7 linked regions of the Canis lupus familiaris genome follow. The protein of the gene in region 2 interacts with the protein of the main gene of each other region in a pairwise test. Links are inferred from orthologs where the notes say so. Each region holds a gene or a part of one and is shown on either strand. Other genes may lie near its edges. The genes, in order: METTL21A, LNX1, KXD1, NECAB2, PRR13, CUTC and MTMR9.

The links.
Region 1: the proteins of LNX1 (region 2) and METTL21A interact in binary tests that used the Homo sapiens proteins (3 or more experiments, as listed by UniProt). The link is inferred for Canis lupus familiaris from reciprocal best matches to the Homo sapiens genes LNX1 and METTL21A.
Region 3: the proteins of LNX1 (region 2) and KXD1 interact in a two-hybrid assay, tested with the Homo sapiens proteins (2 studies listed by BioGRID and IntAct). The two-hybrid records come from large-scale screens. The link is inferred for Canis lupus familiaris from reciprocal best matches to the Homo sapiens genes LNX1 and KXD1.
Region 4: the proteins of LNX1 (region 2) and NECAB2 interact in binary tests that used the Homo sapiens proteins (3 or more experiments, as listed by UniProt). The link is inferred for Canis lupus familiaris from reciprocal best matches to the Homo sapiens genes LNX1 and NECAB2.
Region 5: the proteins of LNX1 (region 2) and PRR13 interact in binary tests that used the Homo sapiens proteins (3 or more experiments, as listed by UniProt). The two-hybrid records come from large-scale screens. The link is inferred for Canis lupus familiaris from reciprocal best matches to the Homo sapiens genes LNX1 and PRR13.
Region 6: the proteins of LNX1 (region 2) and CUTC interact in a two-hybrid assay, tested with the Homo sapiens proteins (3 studies listed by BioGRID and IntAct). The link is inferred for Canis lupus familiaris from reciprocal best matches to the Homo sapiens genes LNX1 and CUTC.
Region 7: the proteins of LNX1 (region 2) and MTMR9 interact in binary tests that used the Homo sapiens proteins (3 or more experiments, as listed by UniProt). The link is inferred for Canis lupus familiaris from reciprocal best matches to the Homo sapiens genes LNX1 and MTMR9.

Annotation. Positions count from the first base shown.
Region 1 is NC_049258.1:15,864,235-15,868,357, reverse strand, and holds the start of METTL21A (protein N-lysine methyltransferase METTL21A), read left to right. Parts: upstream 1-1,323; 5' UTR 1,324-1,608; intron 1,609-2,471; exon of another isoform or gene 2,472-2,559; intron 2,560-2,710; exon of another isoform or gene 2,711-2,780; intron 2,781-3,130; 5' UTR 3,131-3,174; coding exon 3,175-3,321; intron 3,322-4,123. UniProt on the Homo sapiens protein: Protein-lysine methyltransferase that selectively trimethylates residues in heat shock protein 70 (HSP70) family members. Contributes to the in vivo trimethylation of Lys residues in HSPA1 and HSPA8.
Region 2 is NC_049234.1:46,800,672-46,804,171, reverse strand, and holds part of LNX1 (E3 ubiquitin-protein ligase LNX), read left to right. Parts: intron 1-1,754; coding exon 1,755-1,957; intron 1,958-3,500.
Region 3 is NC_049241.1:44,892,169-44,895,242, forward strand, and holds part of KXD1 (kxDL motif-containing protein 1), read right to left. Parts: intron 2,791-3,074; 5' UTR 2,770-2,790; coding exon 2,669-2,769; intron 1,248-2,668; coding exon 1,095-1,247; intron 1-1,094.
Region 4 is NC_049226.1:68,820,894-68,824,393, reverse strand, and holds part of NECAB2 (N-terminal EF-hand calcium-binding protein 2), read left to right. Parts: exon of another isoform or gene 1-301; intron 302-693; exon of another isoform or gene 694-2,142; coding exon 2,143-2,279; exon of another isoform or gene 2,280-3,500. UniProt on the Homo sapiens protein: May act as a signaling scaffold protein that senses intracellular calcium.
Region 5 is NC_049248.1:44,879,484-44,883,591, forward strand, and holds the start of PRR13 (proline-rich protein 13), read left to right. Parts: upstream 1-1,308; 5' UTR 1,309-1,403; exon of another isoform or gene 1,404-1,659; intron 1,660-2,405; exon of another isoform or gene 2,406-2,433; 5' UTR 2,434-2,453; coding exon 2,454-2,472; intron 2,473-2,822; coding exon 2,823-3,187; intron 3,188-4,108. UniProt on the Homo sapiens protein: Negatively regulates TSP1 expression at the level of transcription. This down-regulation was shown to reduce taxane-induced apoptosis.
Region 6 is NC_049249.1:12,809,896-12,814,155, forward strand, and holds the start of CUTC (copper homeostasis protein cutC homolog), read left to right. Parts: upstream 1-1,460; 5' UTR 1,461-1,618; coding exon 1,619-1,679; intron 1,680-1,779; exon of another isoform or gene 1,780-2,119; intron 2,120-2,579; exon of another isoform or gene 2,580-2,834; intron 2,835-4,260. Other genes in the region: cytochrome c oxidase assembly protein COX15 homolog, read right to left, coding at 1-37, 1,227-1,316. UniProt on the Homo sapiens protein: May play a role in copper homeostasis. Can bind one Cu(1+) per subunit.
Region 7 is NC_049246.1:26,746,151-26,749,650, reverse strand, and holds part of MTMR9 (myotubularin-related protein 9), read left to right. Parts: intron 1-449; coding exon 450-591; intron 592-2,363; coding exon 2,364-2,584; intron 2,585-3,500. UniProt on the Homo sapiens protein: Acts as an adapter for myotubularin-related phosphatases. Increases lipid phosphatase MTMR6 catalytic activity, specifically towards phosphatidylinositol 3,5-bisphosphate and MTMR6 binding affinity for phosphorylated phosphatidylinositols.

The sequences.
Region 1 (4,123 bases), on a different chromosome or scaffold from region 2:
GCTTAACTGGCTGAGCCACCGAGATGCCCCTATGTGGGATCTATTTTTTAAAATAGCCAAATTCATAGAAACAGGTTAGAATGGTGGTTGCCAGGGGCAGGGGGTAGGGGAATGAGGAGATGCTGGTTAGAGGGTACCAACTTACAGTTATAAGATGAGTAAGTTCTAGGAATCTAATATTCAGCATGGTGATTATAGTTAATAATACTGTAGCCTATACTTAATAGTTGTTAAGAGAGTGGATTTTAAATGTTCTCACTACACACGTGCACAAAGTAATAATTATGTGAGATGATGGATGTGTTAACTAACCTTATTATAATAATGGTTTTGCAGTATATACACGTATCAGATCATCACACTTTATACCTTAAACTTAAATATGTCAATTATATCTCAATAAAGCTGGAAAATAAAATAGGACCAAAAAAGTAGGCCAAAGACTCCACAGGCACTTCATTAAAGAAGATCCACAGATGGCAAACAAGCATATGAAGATGTTCCACATCACATGTCACTAGGGAATTGCAAATTAAAACAACTAGTACACACCTACCAGAGTGGCTAAAATTCAAAACACAACATCGAATACTGACAAGGACATGGAGCAACGGAAACTCTCATTCATTACTAGTGGGAACACAAAATGGTACAGCCACTTTGGAAGAGAGTCTAGTAGTTTCTTATAAAACTCAACATACTTTCACCATAAAATTCAGTAATCACACTCTTTGGTATGGACCAGAGGAACTGCGTAAAAAGATTAGCGGTTGCCAGGGGTTATGGTAGAGGGAGGGAGATCCACAGGTGGAGCGCAGGGGATGTTTAGGGAAATGACACTTCTCTATATGACGCTATGATGGTGGATATTTGCCATTACAGATTTGTCCAAACTCATAAATAAAATGCTCAAGACCAAGGATGAGCCCCCCAAATAACCTATGGTCTCTGGGTGATAATGCTGTGTTCAAAGAAGGTTCATCAATTGTAACAAATGTGCCACTCTGGTGGGGGGGGTGCTGATAATGGGGGGGGGGAGGCTAAGCCTGTGCTGGTGCAGGGAGTGTATGGGAAATCTCTGTCTCTTCTCAACAATTTTGCTCTGAACTTAAAACTGCACTAAAAAATAAATCCTATTACATACAATCTTAAAAATTAAAATAAACAAGCTGAGCAAAGACAAAAAGTTAGCCAAAGGCCTTCTTCACTGCTGATCCCTTCCAAGTCTCCTCTGCGGCCCGGCCTTCCGCTGGAAGGTTAAAGAAAAGTGGGGAGAGGCTCGCAGGCCCCCTGCAGGAGGGGGGAGGCCAGAGAGCGGCGGTTTAGGTTTGGCCTGAGGCTCCTGCAGCAGGTCGCACGGGAGGCACCGGGAAGGGCCCACGCTCGGTCGCCCGGCAGCAGTAGAGACGTCCCCGCGGCAGAGCCCAGGCGGGGCAGGTGGCGGGCGCCGCGGTCCTGCTCAGGCGCGGGGACGCGGAAAACCCCCGGGACGAGCGGCGGCAGGTGGGGCGGGGGGGGGGGGGGGGTGGCGCACAGCGGGAAGAAAGGGAGGACGGAGGCAGCTTGGGTCGGTGACTGTCGCGTCCGGCACCGAGGTCCCTGGGGCAGGTGCGCCCACCGCCGGCCCTGGGAGGAGGGGGACCAGGGAGGAGGGAGCCCGGGGAGGAGGGGGACCGGGACCCGGGGAGGAGGGGGACCGAGGAGGAGGAGGGGGAGCGGGACCCGGGGAGGAGGGGACGCGGGACCCTGGGAGGAGGGGGACCGGGGAGGAGGAGGGGGACCGGGACCTGGGGAGGAGGGGGAGAGCGGGGCCCGGGGAGGAGGGGGCCCGGGGAGGAGGAGGGGGAGCGGGACCCGGGGAGGAGGGGACGCGGGACCCTGGGAGGAGGGGGCCCGGGGAGGAGGAGGGGGACCGGGACCCGGGGAGGAGGGGGAGAGCGGGGCCCGGGGAGGAGGGGGACCGGGGTCCCGGGAGGAGGGGACGCGGGTCCGGGGAGGATGAGGAGGCGCGGGTCCGGGGAGGAGGGGCGCGGGGCCAGTCGCGCGCGGACTCCGAGTTCGCGCTCTGGACGACAGGGGCTTTGTCACTTCTCCTCTGTTGCCACCAAGCGGCGACGCCAGCGCCTCGGACGCGGAGGGCCGAGGACCCAGCACGGGGCAAGGCGAGGACGGAGGGGCGGCCGCGCACTCCTCGGAGCCCACTCGGTCCGCGGGCGACGGGCGACCCTCCGCGCTCGGGCCGGGCGGACGCTCCCCGTCGGCAAAGCCCGAGAGAAGCGCGCGGAGCCGCGGGGCCCCGGCCGGGGAGAGCCCGAGCCGCGCGCGCCCCCAGCCGGCCGAGGCCTCCCTGCCTCCCGCCCTCCCGCCCTCCCCGCCCTCGGAGACCGGCCCGGCCTCGGGGCTCGCACACCTCGGGCCGCGGAGGGAGGGAGGGAGGCGGGCCGGACCCCTCGGGCGCGCGCCCAGCTCACCTGCAGGCGGGGCCGGAAGCGTGTCTGCGGCCCGGAGGCGCTCGGGGCGGGCGGAGCGAGGCGCGCGGCGCGGGGCGGCTCCGGAGCGGTGAGTGGAGGCCGGGGGCCCAGCTCGGGCTCGGCCGCTGTGCCCGCAGGGCCTGGGGGGCGGCCTGGGCGCGGCCGGGGACCCCCCCGTTCCCGGAGCTCTGGGGCCCGCGCGAGGGGGTCGCGGACGGGCGGGCTCGGGGCTCGGGGCTCGGGGCTCGCACTTCCAGCCGGGGCGACCCGGGGCTGCGCGCAAACCGTTAACACCCGGTCCAAGTGCAGGTTCGGGCTCGTGGCCGTCGCTGTGGGGGACTTCAGAGCCGGCGGGGGGCGACCCAAGCTGCGGCCCGCGGCTAGAGCTCCCGCGCGTGCCCGCGTCCCCGCCCTGGGCCGCCGCTCCGGGCCCCCTGCAGCCGCGGTGCGCCCGCGGGGTCGTGGGCCCAGAGCCGACTCCGTGGCCGGGCTGCGGAACCGGGCGCCCCTCCCAGAAGGGGAAGGGCCTCGCGAGGGACTTAGCAAGCCCCCCCACCCCCACCTCTGTTGTCTTCTTTTGAACTTGTGAAAAATGGCCTTAAAAAGCATTTGGAGCTACTTAAGAGAGAATGCTTTTTTTATTTTCTCCCCCTGGCCAGAGCCTCAAGAGCTTTGAGGGTGCAGAGAGCTGAGTGCCTGCGAAATGGCCCTGGTGCCCTATGAGGACACCCCGGGAGTGGGGTTGCAGAAATTCCACAAGCCTCTTGCCACCTTCTCCTTTGCGAACCACACGATCCAGATCCGGCAGGACTGGAGGCAGCTGGGAGTCGCAGCAGTGGTTTGGGACGCGGTAAGTACAGCCACTGGGCCTCTGAAGACAACCACAATTCATTGTAAGAATGGTCTTTATTATAATTTTATTATTTTTATTTATTTTTATTTTTTTATGATTTTATTTATTTATTCATGAGAGACAGAGAGAGAGTGGCAGAGACACAGGCAGAGGGAGAAGCAGGCTCCACACAGGGACTCGATCCCGGGACTCCAGGATCACACCCTGGGCTGGAGGCAGCGCTAAACCACTGAACCATCCGGGCTGCCTTTTATTTTATTTATTTTATTATTTTTATTTTATTTTATTTTATTTATTTATTTTATTTTATTTTATTTTATTTTTTAATTTAATTTAATTTATTTTATATTTTATTTATTTTATTTTATTTATTTTTATTTTATATTTTATTTTATTTTATATTTTATTATTTTATTTTATTATTTTATTATTTTATTTTATTTTATTTATTTTATTTTGTTTTATTTTATTTTATTTTATTTTATTTTATTTTATTTTATTTTATTTTATGGTTTAATTTTTTTTATTTATTCATGAGAGGGGCAGAGACACAGGCAGAGGGAGAAGCGGGCTCCATGCAGGGAGCCCAACGTGGGACTCGATTCCAGGACTCCAGGATCAGGCCCTGGCCTGAAGGCGGTACTAAACCGCTGAGCCACCCGGGCTGCCCAATTATTATTATTTTTAATAACAGGTTTATTGAGATATAATTCATATACCAAACAGCAAGAAATTAAAGGTGCCAGATGGAGCAGGACGCTATGCTGTGTGGGCAGTGTCCGTGACTCCTGCGGTCCCC
Region 2 (3,500 bases):
TTTTAAATCGCCATTGCCTGTCACCAGACCTGTTCCAACAAATGCTTATGGTAACGCCTACTTAATGTAATCAAAGTAGTTTAAACATTAATTGAAAGCAATCACCCAAGTACTGTTAGCACCAGGAACTGACGGATTAAGGCCGCTGCCCACAGCCTGCCAGCAAAGCCAATCTTACATTAAATTACATCCCAGCGGAGGTTAAGGACGCGCATTTGCAACGTCTCAGGCTTCCTCTGGCTGCTAAATTGCTTTGTTGATCATGTCCTACGGTACTTTGAAGTCATTTTAATTCTTTCTGTATTGTTCCTGGAGAGTTGAGCACTTCTTAATGAACTCATAGTTCATTAGGGAAAATGGACTAAGGTCATGGGTTTTGAAAACAGGGCTCATTATGCAGAGCCAGACCTGCTGTTTCCCCCCTTCCCAGCTGACTTAATGAAGAGAGAATCTTAGGGCAGAGGCAGCTGTCGGCAGCTAGAGGAGACAAAAGCATCCCGCCCACCGCATCCAAACTCAGCAACCAGGGAGGAGCCGCCGGCGCCACCAAACCAGGTGCAGCCTGCCTGGCATCCCACGGTGCCCCTTCTGCACACTTCTGTGCAGACAGTGCTGGCTTATGGGTCTCTCCGGCGAGTCCCCCGTGGGACCCTTGTGAATCCCTGGTTGTTCCAAAACCCCAGGGAGGTGACAGGACGGCAGGTCACCTGGAGCCCTAGGGTGTGACTGGCTCTGACGGCCACCTTACATTGCAGCCTCCAGCAGACCAGGTCACTTCCCCACTCTCAGCTCAAACGCCCTCACATGCAGAATAAAGCCGCACTATGGTGTCTGTTGCTGTTAAACCAGACGACTAAGGAAGCTCTTCTGCATGTGGGCCCAGTGGTGGGGTCGGGTTGGGGTGGGGTGCGGTGGAGGCTGGTGTTGAAGGGACCCGGGAAGGATTTCATGGGGAAAGAAGAGTCTTCCATTCAAAGGTAAAGTCTGAGCTCTCTGCATCTCCTGTTAGCTCTGAGTTCAGCAATCCCGCCAGAGCAGGGATGAGCCTCCAGATGCCACCACCTCTCCTTGGTCAGGGATCGGGCTGGCTGACTTCCCTTTATTGACAGCAATGTCTGGGAGGGAGGCCTGGGAGTGCCCTGAGCCTGAAGAGCAGGGACTGCCGGGGAGAAATCTTCAAAATGGCCTGAGAAAGCAGAAAAGCTGGTTTGGTCTGTTCTGTCCCTCGACAGGGAGGCGCTGAGCCTGTGGTCTCTCCCTTAGTGACCCTTCGTCCTCATGCACCCCTCCACCCTCAGGAGGCTCTGGCCTGCGCTCGTGATCTGTACACACAGCCACAGGACAGCTGCAAACAGTGTCCTCAGAGATCTTAGGGTCCCGGGGGAGGATGAATGAAATGAGCATGAATGACAACAGAGGGCTCAGTGCTGGGGAGAAATACAAGCTTTTGGGGTGGGGGGTGGGGGGCGGAATGGGATGTTTGGACAGAGCAGGGCAAGAGGGACCAAGGTAGAGCTTAATTGAAAGGGATCATTTCATGCGAGTCTTGAAGGAAAAATTGGGTCTAGGCCTAGAATGAAAAACATTCCAGGCAGAGAAACCGATGCTGGCAAGGAGGCAGGAAAATGGAAAACATGTATGAGGAACGATGAATAGTTTAGTTTGGCTGACACCAAGGTTTGGCAAGAAGAGGAGGGCTTGGAAATGTCTGCCGGGTGGGTGTCTTAAATAAATACTGTCTTTGTCCATTTTAGTCTTTCCAAGGTTGTATCACCTGATTCCAGATGGTGAAATTACAAGCGTCAAGATCAATCGAGTGGATCCCAACGAAAGCCTCTCCATTAGGCTCGTGGGAGGCAGCGAAACCCCACTGGTCCACATCATCATCCAGCACATTTACCGCGACGGGGTGATTGCCAGGGACGGCCGGCTGCTGCCAGGAGACATCATCCTGAAGGTAGGCCGCAGTCGTGGTGGGGCCGGGAAGAGGGGGCTTGCTAAAATCCCTTCGGAGCAAGTCAGCGGATGGATGGAGGAAATGCCAGATGGATGGGAAGCGGTCACTTTCTAGGGTTGTCACGCCGATAGGGCTCTTTCCCTGAGAGTTGTCATTTAATGGAGATAGGTCTTTGCCCCTTCTGTCTTGTCCTTATAGCCTCTGCCTCTTTCTGGGTAAGAGTATTTCTGTCTCTGTCTTCCCCTCCTTCCTCGTCTCCCCTCCAGCTCCTGTCCCTGCTTCCCTTTCTCTACCTCCTTCTCTTCCTGTCTCCTTCCCAACCCCTCCTCCCACTTGAAGTAACCATAACATAAAAGAATATGAAACTGGAGCATCTATTTGTCTTCTCGTATTGTTTTTAGAGCAGGTTAATGGAACATGTCATCTTGGATCTGGTCACTCCCTTTCACACACCCCCCTTGTGGGAAACTTCCTGTAGCTTAATGGCCCTCCATGAGAAAACCCAAAAGGTGAGGCTAAGCTATTCCCACCAAGGCACTGACCTTCCAGGGCGGGCAGGAGGTGGAACAACACACCCTGGGCCTTGCTGTGCTCAGGGGCTTGGGTGAGAGGAAGGATGCTAGGGAAGACTCTTGAGCAGAAAGGACAAAGGGAGAGTTGTTCATCACACAGAGGTCGGACGTGCGGCGAGAGTGACAAGGAATCCCTCCCTGGCTGTAGACTCCCTGTCTGATACCCAGAGAAGAGTTTCATCCCGTTCAGGGGCCAGCTCCTGATACAGCGTGAGCTATTTCTCTGCCAAAAAAAAAATTATTATTATTATTATTATTATTATTATTATTATTATTATTTGGAATAAGAAAGCATTTAAAGCAGCGATCAAACCTCCCCCTGGTCTCTGGGGTAAAGCACAAGGCCGGGCCCGTCAACCTCTAGAGACAGTCCACAGTGCAGTCAGTGGACTCTACGTGGCTTCCCTCCAGAGGGAGGGAGTTGTTCTGCCCGGGAGGGTCACATAAGACATTCTGATTCTTAGGGCCTTCAGGTGGCCCTTGCAGGCCAAGGGCTGCCAGGACTGTCCTGCAGATGACCCCGGCCTGGGTGTGATGGGGGAAACGAGACACAGGATACATGACAGAGCGGAGCAAGGGCTTTAAGCTCACCTGTGCTTGGATACAAGTGGTGAGGCTTGTCTGTGCACGCGAGCCTTCATCCATCCCTGGAGAGGCAGAAAAAAAAAAAAATGATGATTGTGTCCTGCAGGAAGACCTCTTAAAATCTCACTCTGAGCCTCCTCTATCAATTGGCTGCAAGTACAAGAAATCCGACCCAACCACAGAAGTTCAAGAAGGCTGTCTCTCTCCTGTGGGGCCCCGGTCCTGCAGACCCTGCGCAGAGTGTGGGGCTGCTGCGAGATGGTTTTCTTGCAAAGCAGTGACTCCCGCTAGGGGCTGAGCCTTCCGGCTGGGCCTGCTTAGCCAGAGTAATTAAAACCAGAAAGCCCCATGGGGCATCAGCCCTGCAGATAATTAATGAGGCACAA
Region 3 (3,074 bases), on a different chromosome or scaffold from region 2:
GTCCTTGATGCTGGGCCTAGCTGGGCCCTCTACCTGCCATGCCCTTCTTATGTCTGCCCTCCTCTGTCCAGATAACCTTCCAGGAGGCTTCCTCACTCCATCCTCAGCAGTCACTCCCCTGAGTGACTTGTTCCAGTTGGTCCCCCATCACTGGGATGAGAGTGTCTGTGTTAGGAGTGATTATCCATTCCAGACACCACGTACCTTGCACATATTAAAATGTTGTTCACAGAGAAATGCCTGCTTCATTTCTAACCAGCTGTTTGTCCTTTTCTCCCCGCAAAGTAATAAAGTCATGTTTAAAAAGAATGATAAAGGGATCTTTGGGGTGGAGTCTCATCCTTGACCGTGGCCAACCAGTCCCCACCAGAAGTACTACCATTGCTGGGTCCCTACCCACAGGGCAACTGGGCAGAAATAACTTTCTTCTTCCCGGGCGATACAGATATGCACAAAGGGTGCCAATACTTGGGGTTCCAGCTCACCCCCAACACCACGCCTGGGCAACCAGCCCAATGAGACGCCCCAGAAAATATGTGCTTTTCTAAATTTAATTGGCCCATCGCATGATTTCTGCTCTGCCAGTGGGTGTGGCTGCCCCCAGGGCCGAGGAAGTGACTCCATCAGTAGGGGAACTGTGGGTGCAGCTCTGGCTCACTCCAGGCCCAGGCATGTGGCCACAGTCATTAACAGTGGCACTGATGCAGGCTCTTGAGTGCTGCCTCGAGCATTCTGTGTTTCGTCACAGAAAACAGCTCAGAAGGGACCCACAAAAAACTGGCAATTTCTTACACCTCTTGAGAGAAGACCTGAATTGGGGGCTGGAGGGACCAGAGGCTTGCCTTCCCCTGGCTGCACTTGCCTGCCTTTTGCATTAGGCAAAAGATAAATGAAACTTAAATTCAGAAACTTCAAGATTTTTTATCCCAAAGTTCAGAACTTCTCAGATTCTAAGTGAGCGCTAAAGCCTCATAAAGCAAAGGAGCTAAATCTCCTTCATTGCTCTGTTATAGGGAGTGGATGGTCTTCATTGAACAGGGGAGGAACTTGAGGTTCGGAGGGGGAGGCAGAAGCTGGAGGGGCTGAGGACCCACCTGATCCTGCGGAAGATGCTGTCCAGGTCTCGCTTCATCTCCACCAGGGTCCTTGTGTGGTGCAGGAAGCGCTCGCTCATTTGCTGCAGGCGGGCACTTGACAGGTTGTTGAAATTCAGCAGCATCTCGTTGGTCTTCTCAAAGCGGTCCAGCCTGGCAGCAGTGAGAAAGCACCAGCCCTACACACAATGCTCTACAAACTTGCCATGCCCCACAAACTAATCATGCTAAGCCCTTTCCTGCTTCATGATCTTTACATGTATTATTCCCTTGCCCTACAAAACTCTACCTGCTGTTTGAGCCATCTAGCAAACTCCTGTTCAACCTTCAAAACCCTACCCAAAAGGCACCTAGGTGGCTCAGTTGGTTAAGCGGCTGCCTTTGGCTCAAGTCACGATCCCTGGGTCCTAGGATCGAGCCCCACATCAGGCTCCCTGCTTGATGAGCAACCTACTTCTCCCTCTCCACCACTTGTGCTCTCTTGTGTGCACTCTCTCAAATACATAAATAAAATCTTTAAAAAACAAAAACTAAGGGGGATCCCTGGGTGGCTCAGTGGTTTAGTGCCTACCTTTAGCCCAGGGCATGATCCTGGAGTCCTGGGGTCGCGTCCCACATCAGGCTCCCTGCATGGAGCCTGCTTCTCCCTCTGCCTGTGTCTCTGCCTCTCTCTCTCTCTCTGTGTCTCTCATGAATAAATAAATAAAATCTTTAAAAAACAAACAAACAGATAAAAACAAACAAACAAAAACCCCTAAAATCCTACCCAGTACATACTTCTCACATAGCCTTTCCTCCCTCTCAAGCAGACTCTGACTCCTTGGACTTCCTAGACCCAAGTTATTCCTCTGGCCCAGCCCTGATACCATGGGGCCAGGAAGGTCTGTGTCTGGTTTTGTCTTCCCTGACTGTGGGAGTTCATCAGGCCAGGCCTAAATCTGACCCAGACAAACCCAGCACTCTTGTCACAGGATGAGAGAAGTGGAAGGGTATCAGGTCTGTATTGTGTCATAAGTGGAAGGAAGAGACTTTGTCTTAAATACACAAAAATAAAGCCACAGGAGTCTGTGTTTCCACCCTAAGATTGTGTAAGCCTTTCTTCCCCACAGAGCAGGCTGGAATTAGGGTGAGGCTGTGGTGGTCACATGCCAAGCCCCAAGGAGGGCAAAGGGTGTTGACGGCCCCCCCAAAAGACCATGAGTACTCTGCAGAGACAGCCTAGGCTCTGAGGGACCAGATTCCTAATGGGAGATCAGTTCACTGGCTTCCTCAGATCCCCTCCTGCAGCTCCTTCCTATCCCCCACTCCCCACTCCAGGTCTTGGGATAGGAGCTGCTGCGGCCCCTGCCAAGCCATCCGCAGCTGCAAAACCATCCCAAAGCCCTGCTTCCTGTGCCAAGGCCTCGCCTCCAGGCCAGGAAGGAATTTACTTTGGAGCCAGCCGGCAAATTTGCTCATTTCCTTCATTTTATCACCAGTGTGGGCCCAGGGTAGGGGTGGGCAGGGCAAGAATGCTGGCCAGCAAGTGGATTCCTTCCCACGCCCGGGGCCCACAGCTCTTGGCCACCACTCACATGTTCTTCTGAGCCAGGATGATAGCATTGACGTCATCTGTGTTCACCATGCTCAGGATGCGGCTGCAGAAGACCCTCGAGGCCGAGTCCGGGGGGTCCATCTCTTCTTCCTCCTCCGCTGCCTGAAACAAGCAGGAAGAGTCTTCAGTCTATACCAGCCACTGGGGTAGGTGGGATGGAAGGAGGGTCTCAGAACCCCGGGCCCCATGACCATAAGTTGGTCACACCACCTGAGCCACAGCTTTGTCATCCTAAGAATTCAGGGGTGTTGGGAGGACATATCTGCAAATTGCACCCAAGTACATCAGAATTCCATCACCCACCCACCTCTGCGGCCCCAACTCTCCATAGGCCCAAGGCCATGGCCACTTCTACCTGCACAGATCTGTCAGTCTCTTCCCACATC
Region 4 (3,500 bases), on a different chromosome or scaffold from region 2:
GGCTTAGGCATCGATCATGGTGGAGGAGAAATCTGTGAAAGCTGCGTGTTCATTCCTTTGAAAATAACTTGTCTTTTTGGAATTCAGCTAAGCAGTTACACTCGTGGATCTTTGCAACCTCAGCCACTGGTCTGGCTGCTTCTAATACACTTACTTCAACTCATTTTTCTGCCCGCTGGCTTTTAGCAGGCTTTCTCTTTGCATTTAAATTTCTTACCAGACCATAGCTTCTTGTTCTTGTTGGCCATTCATTTGTCCAGGGCCCATTGATCCCTGGATTGACTACGGTTTCAGCCGTTTGCTAGGGAGGATAATCAGTAATTGAAATGCATTAGGTGACCAGAACCTCATCTACCTTCTGCCACAGATTCACTGTGTGTTGGGGCCTGTCTCCAGCGTTGGCATGGGACATCCCCCTCACACATCTCCCTGTGTGTGTGCCTGCTTCTCCCACCCCTACCTCTGTTTCCCTCTCTGTCTCTGGTGGTGGTTCCTTTGTACACTCATTGCTAATTAATTCCCAGTCAGAGTGATGGATGGCTTAATTTGCTTTCCTTGAAAGCCCGGTTTTCCCTGGCCTTGCCAGAGCCTGGGCAGCTGGCTCGGGAGGGTGGGGTCTTGGCAGAGGAGGTGGGAGAGCTGCACAGGGTTTTGGGGTCCAGCATCCCCAACACAGTGCCATTGGATCCTTACCGTCCTTGTGTGGCCTGGCCAAGTCAGAACCTTCTCAGTGCCCCTGAAAGCCTTCCGAAGCCAAGGGAATCTCAGCTGGATCCTAAAGCCTTGAGAAATGTCTTTGTCGCAGACTCTTGACAGAAGGGGAGATTCTCACAACACAGAGCGAGGTCTGTGGAAACTCTCTTCCTCCTTCTTTCCCCCACAGTTTCTCTCCTCGTGGCCTCTGAATCTCCTCTCTCAGTCCATCCCAGGTTCTCCACTGACTCCCTCCTTCTGAGACCAAGTCTCCGGCATTCTCTGGAGAGGAGCCAGTTGAACCTCTCTGGTTGCTTTTGAGTCTTTCATTTCTCTGAGTTGCATCATGAAGGGTCAGGAGCCCAAGGGATCCTTCTTGGAGGAAGGAGGGGAACAGGGTTGTGTCATACTTCATCCCTGTCAACAAGAACATCAGGAACATCACCACCAATGAGCTTGCTTATCACCACCACCCCCACCAGCATCGTCTTCACCACCACATCACTGTCCTCATCACTGCCATCATCACTGTTGTCATCTTCATCACCATCACTATCCTTACTATCACTGCCACTATCATCACCATCATCGTCACTGCCATCATCTTCATCACGACCACAACTTCATCACCATCACTGCCACTATCATCATCACCACTGCCATCACCACCATCACCATAATTATCGGTGTCATTGTCTTCATTGTCACCATCATAGTCATTGTCATCACCTTCATAACCACCACAACCATTATCATCATCTGCTGTTGTCATGTTCATCCCCACCATCCTCCTCATCACCATCAATCGTCATCATCATCATCACTAGTATCAACATGGATGGTGACATCATCCATATCATCATCATTGTCGTCATCTTTATCATAGCAGTTACAATTCATTATTTGCTATGACAGGTACTACGTTGGGCATTTTATTTTTTTAAGATTTATTTATTTATTTGACACAGCATGAGCAACAGGGAGGAGCAAGGGGAGAGGGAGAAGCAGACTCCCCACTAAACAGCCCGAGGCGGGACTTGATCTCAGGACACATGATCTCAGATCATGACCTGAGCCAAAGGCAGATGCTTCACTGACTGAGCCCCCTAGGTACCCCACATTGAGCATTTTCTCTACGTTTTGTCATCCAGTCATCTGTGTGACCTTGTAAGATAGACACTAGAGTGACTCCTCTCATGGTCGCAGAGGTCAGGAGCTAGTATGTGGTGAAGCCAGGGCTCCAGCCTCCATCTCTTAATCCATAGCCCCCACCCTGGTGCAGGAGCCCTACAGTGTCCAAGATGCAAGAGGTGCCGGGGTCCCTGTTTCATCCTGTGAGGCAGAGACACCGACCCCAAGTGCACACCCAGCTCTATGCCAGACCCCACACCTAAATCCTTTCTCTGACCCCTTTCCCAACTGGGCCCTTCCCTTCCCTCCCCTCCACAGGTGTACGAGGGCGGGAGCCACGTGGACCAGTTTGTGACACGCTTTCTTCTGAAGGAGACGGCCAATCAGATCCAGTCGCTGCTGAGCTCTGTGGAGAGTGCAGTGGAGGCCATTGAAGAGCAGACCAGCCAGATCCGGTGCGTCACTGGGACCACAGTGTCACCTGGGGACATGTCACATATGCACACAGCAGCCTGCTTCCAGGGACCATTTGTGTGCTTGGGGGCTGGGGACCTTGGGCAAGGGGCTACACCTCTCTGTGCCTCTTTGTCCCCAGCTCTGAAGTGGGGACCATTATACACCTACCTCTTCAGTGACTGTGGGTTGAATGAGACGGCATATGTGCAGAATGATGCCGGGTGTGTGTGCATAACCTGCGTGCACCGTGTACACACGTCGAGTTAAGACTGTTCCCTAGACTCATCAATTGTACCACTCACGTTATTGTTTGCCTAAGACTATTCTATTATTTGCCTTATTTTTGAAAGCTGGAAATCAGTTTAGGAAGCTACGTGGTTACCACAAGTGGAGAGGTTTCCATGTGCCATAAATGAAGTAGCTATAAAACCAAGCACCTGTGGTTGCAGACAGTCGCAGAAGCCCGGGGCCTGGCCTCCCTCCATCTGTTAGGAGGAGAGACTGGGGAAGCCAAGAGAGGCCTGGAAGAAAGAGTAGCACCAAATCCTGACTCTCTCTGCAGGATTGAAGAGAAGCAAAGTGAATTAAGTGACCGAGGGCCTTGTTTGTGTGTCAAAGCCAAGGAAAAGCATGTGTGTTGGGAAGGCCAGCCTGGGGTCCAGAGAGGAGCAGTTCTCCCTCCAGGCCAGCCCCTGGTCCCCCTCACTTTTGCTCTGTCCCAAGTTGAGACAAACCCCTCTCTGCCCTTCTTTCCAGAACAGCCAGTGCATCTGGTGCAGAGGGGACACAAAGAGGTAGAGATAGACAGGAACAAGAGCCAGGCGTCTACACTGCTGGGCCCGGTGTGCCATTCCCAGATGGGGGCTCGGTGGGGCCAGGGTGAGGGTGGTTGATGTGTCGGGGTTTGAGCAGGTGATTCTTGGCTGCTGAGGGCTGGTCCCAACCAGATAGGATTGCAAAGGCTGTTCAGTGATGCTGTTCCCAAGATTTGTTTGGAGCATCTGTGGGCAAATCATGTGGGAAATGGGAAATGCAGATCCCTGGCCTCGGCCATGCCTGCAGGTTGGGAGTCCCTGGGAGCCGAGCCCAGAACTCCACATTCGCGCTCAGCCTTGTGATTCTGAGGGTCCCCAAGGTGAACAGCCACCGCTCTGGAGGCTGACACAGAGATTTCCTGCGTTTTTTGGTCACTATCTTGATTAAAAAGTTCATGTGTTCCT
Region 5 (4,108 bases), on a different chromosome or scaffold from region 2:
CCCCAATTTTTTTTTTTTTTTTTACAAATTCTTGTGAGTCTAAGGATTATTTCAAAATAAAAAAAAACAAAATAAAAAATATTTTAAAAATCTATCAAAGGGCTTAATTCAAGATGATAGACAGTATACAATTTATCTTCTTAATATTTTTTATATATCCCACAAATTTGGGATGTAGTATTTTCAGTATGGCTTAGTTCAAAGTATTTAATTTCCATCATGGTTTATTCTTTGACCCAGAGTTATTTGGAAGCCTTTTTGTTTTCTTAAATTTCCAGATGTATATTTGTATTTTACATTGTGACCAGAGAATGTGGTATGTAGTGTACAATTCTTTGAAATTTGATTTATATTAGTTGAGACCCAATTTTTTTCTTTAAGATTTTATTTATTCATGAGAGACACAGAGAGAGAGAGAGCGGCAGAGACACAGGCAGAGGGAGAAGCAGGCTCCATGCAGGGAGCCCGAAGTGGGACTCGAATCTAGGTCTCCAGGGTCAGGCCTCGCTGAGCCACCTGGGCTGCCCCTCAATTTTTTTTAATAAGTAGCCTAAGTATGCTTAGGAAGAATGAGTATTTTTAAGTTTGGGGTGCATGGTTTTTTATGTTAATTGTGATTTAAAAAAAAACATGAAGCCATTGCAGCAATCCAGTAGAGAGACGATGATAGGCTAGGAGCAGGGACCATGGAGAGAAGCGGAAAGAATTCAGATTTATTTGGGAGACAAAACGAGCTCTTCGCGGCGGCGGCGGCGGGACAAGGGACAAGCCATCAAAGATGACCTCCTTGGCTTCTGCCTTATGCAATTCGACGGATGGCGGAGCTATGCAAGTGAGCTAGGGAATTCTAAGGGGGATTAGGAAATCTCTGTATTTCCCCCAAGAATGTTTCTTTACTTCCCACAGGGGAGAGGAGGAAGGTGGCGAAACCGAGGCGTGGGGCTGAGACCCGGCAGCTCTCCGCCGTCTCTTAGGCGCTCTGCAAGGACCTTGGCACCGCCTCGGTCACCTCTCCAGGCGTCGCACCCACCGCCCGAGGAGCTCAAAGGGCCCCGGTGCAGAGTCCTCCGGGCCTCCCCGGGCCTCCGCCCACAAGCCGGCCCCGCCCCTCCGAGGCCCGCCTTGGCCCCGCCCCCGGCGCTTCCGGCCCGCCCACTCCTCTGCGCCCTCCGGGGCCGCGCTCCGCCCCCGGGGCCGCCGCCGGCCTCCAGCCCCGCCTGCCAGAGTGATTGACGGCTGTGTTCTCCAATCACGACGCGGACGGGCCAAGCGCTCGCCAACCAGGCGGGGGCGGGGGCGGGGGCGGGGGCGGGGGCGGGCGCTGAAGCCCAGGTCGGGGAGCGGGGGGCGGGGGCCAGGAAGTGAGAGCCGAGGATGAGTCCCGCCCGGGAGGTGGTGTAAAGGTGACTGGGCGTCTGGGTTCCCCAGTTTCCTCCTTTCCTCGTCCCCAGGTCAGGGATCCTTGGCAGCCGGGAGCCAGGCTCTCCACTTGCCCTGTGGGCTGTGGAAGGGGGGTGTGTCTCCGTAAGACAGCGGTGGAGGCTCTTCCCTGGACGCCTTCTCCGGCTCCTTCCCGTGGCCTGGGGTGAGGGTCCTGCCTCCCTCCGCCTGCCCGGGCTGAGGGCGGTGAAGTTGTTTAAGATCCTTCCGTAGCGGTGGGTGAGGAAAGTCTTCCGGGCTCAGCCCCGGCAGGGGAGGGGGGGAGCGGACCCGGAGGTCGCGGAGGGGGGAAGGAGGGGAGGGAGGAGCGGACCCCGAGGTCGCGGAGGGGGTAGGGGAAGGGGGAGGAGGGGAGGGGAAGGGGGGAGGAGGGGAGGGAGGAGCGGACCCCGAGGTCGCGGAGGGGGTAGGGGAAGGGGGAGGAGGGGAGCGGACCCCTAGGTCGCGGAGGAGGGGAGGATGGGAGGGGAAGGGGCGAAGAGGGGAGGGGAGGGGAGGGGAGAGCGGGCCCAGAGGTCGCGGAGGGGGGGAGGAGAGGAGGGGAGGGGAGGGGGGAGCGGGGTCGGAGGTCGCGGGGGGGGGGGAGGGGGGGAGGGAGGAGCGGACCCCGAGGTCGCGGAGGGGGTAGGGGAAGGGGGGGAGGGGAGCGGACCCCGAGGTCGCGGAGGAGGGGAGGATGGGAGGGGAAGGGGCGAAGAGGGGAGGGGAGGGGAGGGGAGAGCGGGCCCGGAGGTCGCGGACGTGGGCGCTGTCCCGCGGAGCCCGAGGTGGTGGAAGGTGGAGGCGCGGGGAGGGCGCCCCGGGCCTGGGGGCAGCAGGAAGCAGGTGCTGAGCGCAGGGACGGTGGGGAAGGAAGCCTGCGGAGGTCGAGGCGGTTCCGCGAGTCCGGGAGGCGCTGCTCCGGGCTGGGTCTCTAACCCCCCTTCCCCCCCCCCCCGCCCCCCCCCCCCCCCCAGCACCATCAGCTTTTCGCCTTGGTTTCTTCCTCCTCAGGCTGCAGGGAGGCCCCGAACATGTGGAATCCCAATGCCGGTAGGTGCTCGGGGGCTCGGCCGCAACCGCTTTTCAGAGGAGCCGGGCACGGGGAGTTTCTGTCGCTTTCTCCGCCCCCCTCGCGCACAGAAGCGGTCCTCGCTCCTCCTCGGCTGACCCTGCGCTCGTCGGTCCCGAGTCACCGTCTCCCTCCCTCCCCACCCCTGCCGCCGCCCTCGCCTTCCCTCTGCCCACCGGCTTTGCCTCCCCGCCGCCCCACCTGCTCCCCCGCCTTTGCATTTCCCTGTAAGTAGTGAGTGAGAAACGGAACCCCCTTCTTTTTGCCCCTGTTTATCGTCAGAGGCTCTGAGCTCTTGGAATCCTAACTTATTCTTTGCTTCTTCCACCAGGACAGCCAGGGCCTCATCCATATCCCCCTAACATCGCGTACCCTGGAGGTGCCAATCCTGCCCATCCGCCACCTGTGAATCCCGCCTACCCCCCGGGCCCCTATCCAACTCCCCCAGGGGCTCCCCAGGGGAATCCAGCTTTTCCCCCTGGTGGGCCCCCTTATCCTGCGCCACAACCAGGGTACCCCGGATGCCAACCCACGGGTCCCTACCCACCTCCCTACCCACCACCTGTTCCTGGCACGCCTCTTGTGAATCCCTTGCCACCTGGCATGGGGGGACCGGGAATGGTGATGGACAAGAAGATGCGGAAGAAAATGAAGAAAGCTCATAAAAAGACGCACAAACACCACAAGCATGGCAAGGTCAGTGCCCCCTGGAGCTTGGCTAGGAAGGGGTGCCCACCACAGAGGCATGGGGGGATTTGCAGTCTGAGGACATGAAGCAGCCATTGTGTGGCTCTGGTCGACGGTTCTTCTTTGTAAAGTATTTCCACTGGTAAGAATCTGGTAATCTTGAAATACTAGGCAAATCGGGCCTTCTATCGAGGAGAGGCTAAGCTGAGCCATAGAATACAGAACAGAATCCAAAGCCCTTCCTGTCTCTGTCTCCCAGAACTTTTGCTCCACCCCCATCCCCAGACGCTTGGTTTAGCAAGTCAGACACCCCCACCTTCAGTGTTCTGGAGGTGCTGTGTTAATTATCACAGGGGCCTTTTTGTCCTACCACCCAGCAGGACTCTCAGTGACTCAGCCTCAAACAAAACCTAAATTTCATGCTCAGCCCCAGAGATGCTAGCCCTCAGCTAGTATCTTCATTCTAGAAGAGCGTTAACTAACAAGTAGCTCTCAGGACAACCCTGGAAGGACCGAACCAAGTAGCTCTCAGGACAACCCTGGAAGGACCGAACCCACCTGGATCTTCCTGGATCTTGAGGAGGCCTTAATTTACATTTTAGTGCCCAGTGTTTATTTGCCTTAGGGCTTTGGGCACTACCCCTTTCCGGATCTTTGGTAGGAATTGCAGGAGAAGGAAAGATATGAGGTTGAATGGGGGTAGAAATTGCCCTGCAGAGATGAAAAAATGTGTTTGGTGACAGTTGTTGGGGGTGTGCAAGTAAAGAACCTTGACTAGTACTCTCCCCTCCTTCCTCACTTTCTCCCATTTGGGGCTTAGGAAAAAGTAAAGGTAGACAGGCACACAGAGGCTGTTTCTTTTTTTTTTTTTTTTTTTTAATTTATTTATGATAGTCACAGAGAGAGAGAGAGAGGCAGAGACACAGGCAG
Region 6 (4,260 bases), on a different chromosome or scaffold from region 2:
GCCTCAAGGGGCGCCTGATCCCACAGCTGCAACCACACTAAGGATCAAGACAGACAAATTATAACTGGAGCCGCATGGAAAGGCCTCAGTCCACTGCTCTCACACACAATCCCACTGTGCCTAGAGTGGAGTACCCCGTACGGCCACATCTCCACTGCTTCTGCCCTAGTAGACCATCATCTCCCATCGGGATTACTGCATCCACCCCACAACTGGTTTTCCTGTCTCTAGTTTTGCCTCACTCCAATCCATCCCCACGCTACATGAACCTTCTAGTCTCTGCATACTTCCCCCAGACTTAACTCTACACCTAGATATGGATTATTTTCTTTCTCTCTGACTGGGATGCTCCTTGCCCCTGATTGAGAATTTCTACTATAGATCTGTTTAGATGTCACCTCCTCTGGGAAATATTTCTAGACTCTCCCGGGTCTGCAACAGGTCACTCCCACAGCACACCGTACCTTCCCCATGTCAGCCCTTCACACATTACAACGTACTTCAGGTTCATCTGTCTCCATCCCTCACAAAGCTATGAGTTGTGGGACAGCAGTGTCTGGTCAGTCTGGCTCTTTCTCTCTGGGCACTTTCGTTCCTAACACAGTTCGCTTACATAACAACACCTTAATAGAGATTTGACAAATGAATTAACTGTGCCTTCCTCCAGGGCAGGAGCCTTTTGGTATTTATCTTTTCCTTCCCAGTTCCTAACACACAATAACCACTCAGTAATTATTTGCTGAGCGAATACAAGTTCTCTTCTGGCTCTGTCCCTGAGTCTAAAGATTCGTGCTTTGTTTCCTAACTTTAAACAACTTAAGCCTCAATTTCCTTCTCTGTAGAATCAGGTTATGGTGCCTTACCCGACTACCTGCAGGCTTTTAGCAAAAATCAAATACGTAGGTAAAAATGACTGAACTTTTATCATGTGCCAGACGCTTGCTGTATATGAGATTATTTAATCCTCAACACAACTTCTGAAGTAGGTACTGCTATTCCCATTTTACAGATGAAGACTAAGGTACAGAAAGGTTTCTTAACTTGGCCAATATCACGCAGCCAGTATACGGCAGGTTCGGATCCTACCTCAGAGGCTCTGGGCACAAAGAAATCCGTCGTGAATTCTAAGGAACTACTGCAATGTGATGTGGGGTTATCTATTATTTTTCTCCTGACTCTTTCGCCCCATGTCCTATTCCGCGACTAAGTCCACTGCGGTGCAGTACCTGTGCTCTAGGCGCCGCCCTAGGAACCAGGAGCCGGAGACACGGGCTCCCCACGAAGGCTTTCAGGGGCGGAAAGAGCAACCGCTGCATCCTGAAGACGGCGCAGAAATAAGCCACCTCCACCGCCCAGCTCTCGGCGGGCTCCCTCCTCCACCACCGAACGGAGAAGCACTTCCGGGTTATGCCGCACGGGCCCCTCCTCCTCAGAGGGCAAGGGCAAGTAGTGACTGCGCCTGCGCCAGCGACTCAGCTTCCGCGGGGGCTGCTGGGTCCGGGTGTCGGGGACGCGCAGGGGTGCGCGCAGCCGTGAGGCCGCGCTTCTTTGCTCGCGCGCGCCGGACCCCGGCATCCTCGTAGAAACCGAAGACGCACGAGGAAGGAACGCGTGGAGCATGAAGAGGCAGGGGGCCCCCTCGGAGCGGAAACGGGCGCGTATACCGTCCGGGAAGGCCGGTGCGGAAGGGGGCGGGAGGGGGCGGGAGGGGGCGGGAGGGGGCGGTCGGCCGATTTGGCCGTCGGGGGCGGGCCTGCGGGGGTTCTGGCAAGCGGGGTCGTGGCGATTGATTCTGTGGGAGTGCTCGGCCCAGCCCCTCACGCCCCGCCCCCCGCGCGCGGGCCCGTTCTGCCTTCCTGACTAAGCGTGTGGAAGCTGAGGGCCTGAGGAGGAGCTTGTAGCGAGAGTGACGCGACGTGTGGGTTCGAATCCCGGCGCCACCGCGTCTAGTGTGCGACGGTGTTCAAGTTGGTTAACTTCTCCCGGCCTTACGTCCGCATCGCCACGCGAGGCCGCCAGTCCCCGCCCCGTGGCATCTCTGGAGCAGTTAGATGCCGAGCGCTGAGCACTGTGCCGTCCCCCGGCGACCGCTTGGGAACCTGTAGCTGCTGCGCCGGGGGTGAGGGCTGTCCCCAAGCTGCACAGCTGCCCCAAGTCCCGAGAGCTTGCTGCTTGCTGTGCCAGGCGGGACGGCGTGGCGGGTGCTACATCCCCCCCACCCCCACCCCCACCCCCACCCCCACCCCCACCCCCACCCCCCTCCACCGCCCCGAGAACTCCTGAGTCCTCCAGACCAGTGGTTCTCAAGCTTTTTGGTCTCAGGGCCCCTCCCCTTTCCTATCGAGAACCTCAGCTACCGTTTGTTTATATCGGCTTTATCTATCGGTGTTGACCGTATTCGAAGTTAAAACAGAAATTTAAAAATACTTATTAGCTAGAAACCCATTACGTATTAACACAACTAACGTGTGTGTGTGTGTGTGTGTGTGAAAAATAACTATCTTCCTAAACAAATAGAATGCCAGCTTTTTATAGTTTTGCAAATCCCTTTAAGATCTGGATTAATAGAATTGTTATACCTGCTTCTGCATTCGATCTGATGTGTCAGGTAGCCTCTTGAAAATTCCACTCCACCCGTGAGAGAAGGAGAGTGAACAAGGCAAATGAAGCCTTAGTATTATTATGAAAATACTTCTCACTGCACAGACCCTGGAAAGGTCTTAAAGGCCCCGGGAGCTAACGGAACTACCACACTGAGAACTGCTCCGAACAAATGTCTGATTCCTACAAATAACCTGGCTTCCCGGACAACTGTCTTGCTCTGCCTTCTGTGATAGCCTTGTGTGCTCTGTGTGTGCACCGCCCCCCTCTCCTGGTGCTTTCTCCCGTGAGGCAAATGGCACCTCTGCAGCACTGTCCAGTTGGATTGACGTGACAGCTGGTGTGGGCGGCTCTGCAGAAACTCGGAGTGAATAGAGTGCTGCTGGCTACGAACATAGAGTGGCACTTAACTCTTTCACAGTTTGAGACTGAAAATCTTCTTTTAAATAAGTGAGACAGTTGTAATTTGATGTAAGCAAATGATAGGTGTTTGTTATTCAAATCAAAAATAGCCTTTTTAAAAATGATAAAAGCAGTATTGGATAGAGAAAAGCAACATAGAAAAGTAAAAGGGGGAGGCGTACCTGGGTGGCTCAGTCCATGAAGCACGGGACTCTTGATCTCAGTGCCCTTATACCTTGGGCTCCACTCTGGGTTCCACGCTGGGGATTAAGTAGAGCCTTCTTAAAAAAAAAAAAAAAGAGAGAGAGAGAGAGAAAGAGAAGGAAGGAAGGAAGAAGAAAGAAAGAAAGAAAGAGAAAGAGAGAAAAGAAAGAAAAAAGAAAAACGAAAGAAAGAGGAAGGTAAAAGTAATTTCAGATCCTATCACCTAGTAGTTAACTATTATCAGTATGTGGTAATTCTTTCAGGTATTATTGCATGAAGTATACATTTAATATTCTTAATTGTAAAAAAAAAAACACTTATGTGCTTAATTTACAGAAAAGCTCAAAACGTTATTTTCATCATACTTTTAGAGTCAATACATGAATGAAATTTGTGAATTTGTAATTACTCTCAGCCTTTAGTAAATCTTTGTATGACTATTCTGTCCCAAGGTAGACCCTGTGCTTGCTATGGGTGATAATAAAGATTTCTCATAGAAAGAGACCTTACTTAGGAACTTTAGGTCAAATAAAAGTGAACAGACATTATCTACATACATAATAAGAAGAAATAGAAAGTAATTAGTGTTTTAAAAAGAAACAATTAGGGACATCTGGGTGGCTCAGCGGTCTGCCTTTGGCTCAGGGCTGATCTTGGAATGCCAGGATTAAGTCCTGCATCGGGCTCCCTGTGGGGAGCCTGCTTCTCCCTCTGCCTGTGTCTCTGCCTCTTTCTCTGTGTCTTTCATGAATATACAGAATCTTAAAAAAAAAAAAAAAAACTAAAAACTAAAAAAATACTAAAACTAATGTTTTAAAGAAGAACATATAATTTATGAAAAGTTACATGAATTCAAAAGAAGGAGATTCCTACTTTGGGAGAGAGGAGATATGGAAATATGATTTAATGTGAGCCTTGGAAAATTTTACCATTCAAAGATGGAGCTGGCAGGACATTGTGGGTTGAGGAGATGGCATAAGCAAGAGCAGAGATGGGAACTGAGGGGAAACTGGAGGTATATAGAGGAAATAATATATTTATCAGTGATAACTT
Region 7 (3,500 bases), on a different chromosome or scaffold from region 2:
CTTAATTTAGTTTTTGGGGTTTCCTTCAACTGTTTTTAGAATAATGGAGTCCCAGACTCCTCCTAAGTATCATGATATAGTAGTACCATTGCCACTGACTTCCTAGATTGACAGTTTTATGTTTCTTCTTGTTTTCATGTTTCAGAAAGTGTGGTTTAGCTATTGTTTCCTAGATCCATTACATTACAAGTAATGAAGGCATCCTTATATAGTCAGCTGATGGTAGAAAGGTAGAATCAGCATCAGAAAGATAGAGAAAAATAACTTTTAAGTGTATGTTAGGGTTTTTTCCCTAAGAGAAACTCTACATGTGCCTTATTTTTCCTCTAAACCCTACTGGACAGAGCAGAATGCATGAGTTTGAAATACTGTACTTAATAAATGTTATTAATAGAGTTGACTGATCATGTTAGGAGTATCCCATTTTGTACTCTGGATTTTCCTATCAGGGAAGGGGCATCCATATTGATTCATGGAACAGAAGGAACTGATTCCACACTTCAGGTTACCTCCCTGGCCCAGATCATCTTGGAACCGAGAAGCAGGACCATCCGTGGTTTTGAGGCCCTGATAGAAAGAGAGTGGCTGCAGGTGAGAAAATCTACTTCGTATGCACAGAAACTGCTAATAATTGATGTGATCCCAGTTTGCAGGAATGGATAGAATTTGTGAAATTTTGATTGATTAAAATGTTTAACCTGTATGTTTAATTTTCTGGGAGCAGTTAATCCTCTCAGTAAATGTTTATATATCCTCACTGCATCTCAATTTTTGTGCCTCTCTGCTTGTATTGCTCACTTGGTATTTCATTCCCTTAACAAACTCTTATTAGTTATACTTTGTTACCTATAGGGGAAATAACAAAAAATGTGAAACAGTCTCTGCTAGAGAGGAAAAAAAACATCAAAACCAGGAAGGGGGTGTGAGGACTTGTAATTATAAGGCATGTGCTCTAGCACTTTCTGCCTGTTGCTTGTCTGGCTTCACCTTATCCTCTTGCCTCACCAGGTGAAATCCTTCTTATGCTTTAAGATACAACTAAATGTCGCTGCTCTCATGCAGTCTTGGGACCTTAACCTTCATCACAGATAAAATCGATCCATTGTCTTCATGCCTTAGTCCTGAAACTACATCCAAATTAAGTGATTCCTTTGAGGTCAGGGAACCATGTCCTGTTTCTCTTTTATCCCTAGGACACAGCACAGTGCAATCACGTAATGCTGAATGACAACTGAAATAAAGGCTTCATGAAATAGATTGAAATCCTTTAAGTCAGAGATTAACTTATAAATGTATATACACTATGTAATTTAGTAAATGTGATTAAGAACAAATGTTTAGATAGATCTTAAAAGTAGAAGCATCTCTGGAGAAAAATCATTTCTGGCCCTTGTAGTTAAAATTTAGATTTATTATGTGTTAATGCTCTTACGTATACCATATTCACCTGCCTCACAACTGACCTGTATCTCTGTTCAAGTGAGACCATCCCAAATATTTGGTAAAAATCTCTTCAGCGACATTCATGATGCATAGCAAACAAATAGGGGAATGTGATTTACATACTTATATATTACCATTCCAATGGGTATCAAAACACCATTAGCTAGTGGAAAATGTTCATGACATTTTCTTTGTCAGGTAAGGTAGTATAAGGATCTAAAGATAAAAGCAAGTGTGTGAAATACCTAGAAGGGTATGATTTGGGTTAAGGTCAATACTCAGGTTCTGGGTGAGCCAAAGAGCCAAATGATTCTTAAATTTACTTTAGTCAGTAGAGGTCAGACTCTTCCAGTTCTTTTTTTGAGAGAAGAGGGAAGTAGGGACAATTTTATCTCTAATACAAAAGTATTCCTAAAGAATTTTTTTTCACATGTAATTAAGTATTCAGTATCAGGAGTGACTTTATAAAGTTTGTGTGTGAGAAACCCATATTTATTTCCATTTATGGGTGAGGCTTACATAGTTTACAACAATCTACCACACTTTGGATAGAGAAAAGGTGGTAGCTGTCTTTTGTGTGGTCCCTGAAGACCATATATTCTTTGACTTTGCTAGAAATTACAGACCTAGAAAATTTTACTTTATAGAATTCACCTAGCATAATTGCAGTTCTTATGGTTATGCCTTAACTGCACAGCCTTGTTAAATATTTGGAAGTCATGGTTTTTTTCCTTAGTTACTGAAAATTGTTTAAATTTATTAATTAAAATCAATTGAAATGATTAAACAGCAGCCATCCAAATTATATGGTGTTCCTTCAATAAGAGTTTTGTTGCAACTGTGTGAAATAATGGTAATAGAATGTGCTGTAATGTGCTCTCACTAGGCCATGACTGTCACATTTCCATCTTCTGTCTTAGGCTGGTCACCCGTTCCAGCAGCGCTGTGCACAGTCAGCCTATTGTAATAGTAAGCAGAAGTGGGAGTCACCTGTATTTCTTCTCTTCTTGGACTGTGTGTGGCAGATACTTCGTCAATTTCCTTGTTCTTTTGAATTTAATGAGAATTTCCTCATCATGCTCTTTGAGCATGCATATGCCTCACAGTTTGGAACATTTCTGGGCAACAATGAAAGTGAAAGGTGGGTACACTGCTTACATGGGATGGGGGCCATTCCGTTTGTATTTTGTTTTGGTCACTTCCTAAAAGAGACCAGGATTTGGTTTCTACATTAATGTTATTGATAAGATGGTAGAGGTTACAGCTAGTATAAGTTAAATAATATGAAATGTGTTATATGAGCCTATCCCATCCTAGGTGAGAGCATGTCCTAGACTTTTTTCTATTAGATTAAAATTAGTCCATACACTGATTTAAAAGCTTTGAGTAAATTGGGCAACCATTCAATGTTAATTTTCTTGTATAAGATCATGGCAATCTTACATCTGGAAGAAGCCTTAACATATAATCCAACTCCATCCTCTATCCAGTTTTATAGATTGGGAGGAGAGTATCTAGAAAAGTTAAATGACTTGACCAGGGACACACAGCCAGTTGGTCACCAATAGTGGGGTTATAATACAGGTCTTCCTTCTTTTGCTCCAAAGTTTATCTGTCACACTGTCCTCAGGTCCAGAGGGACAGTCTCACTTTATAGTCCAGACACCATCGAGTTTATAGGTTTAATTAAGAAGATTCCTATCAGAATGATCCTCAAAGGTGCTTAACTGGTAATCTCAGTTGGGTACAGTCAAAAGGCTTCCTCTTCTCTTTTTTCCTTTGTCATTTCAGCTAAAGGGACAGTTTTGTTGGTTTTTTCCTGGAACCACCTTTTGATTTCATTGACACTCTGTCTATTCTCTATTTCGTCTGTCTACTCTCTACTCTTATTCTTTCCTTCTTTCTGCTAGCACTGGTTTAGTTTGCCCTTCTTTTTCCAGTTCTTTAAGGTATGAAATTACTGATTTAAAAGTCACCGATGTGAGATCTTCGTTCTTTTTTAATGTAGGTTTTTACTGCTATAAGTTTCCATCTGAGCACTGCTTTCACTGGATCCC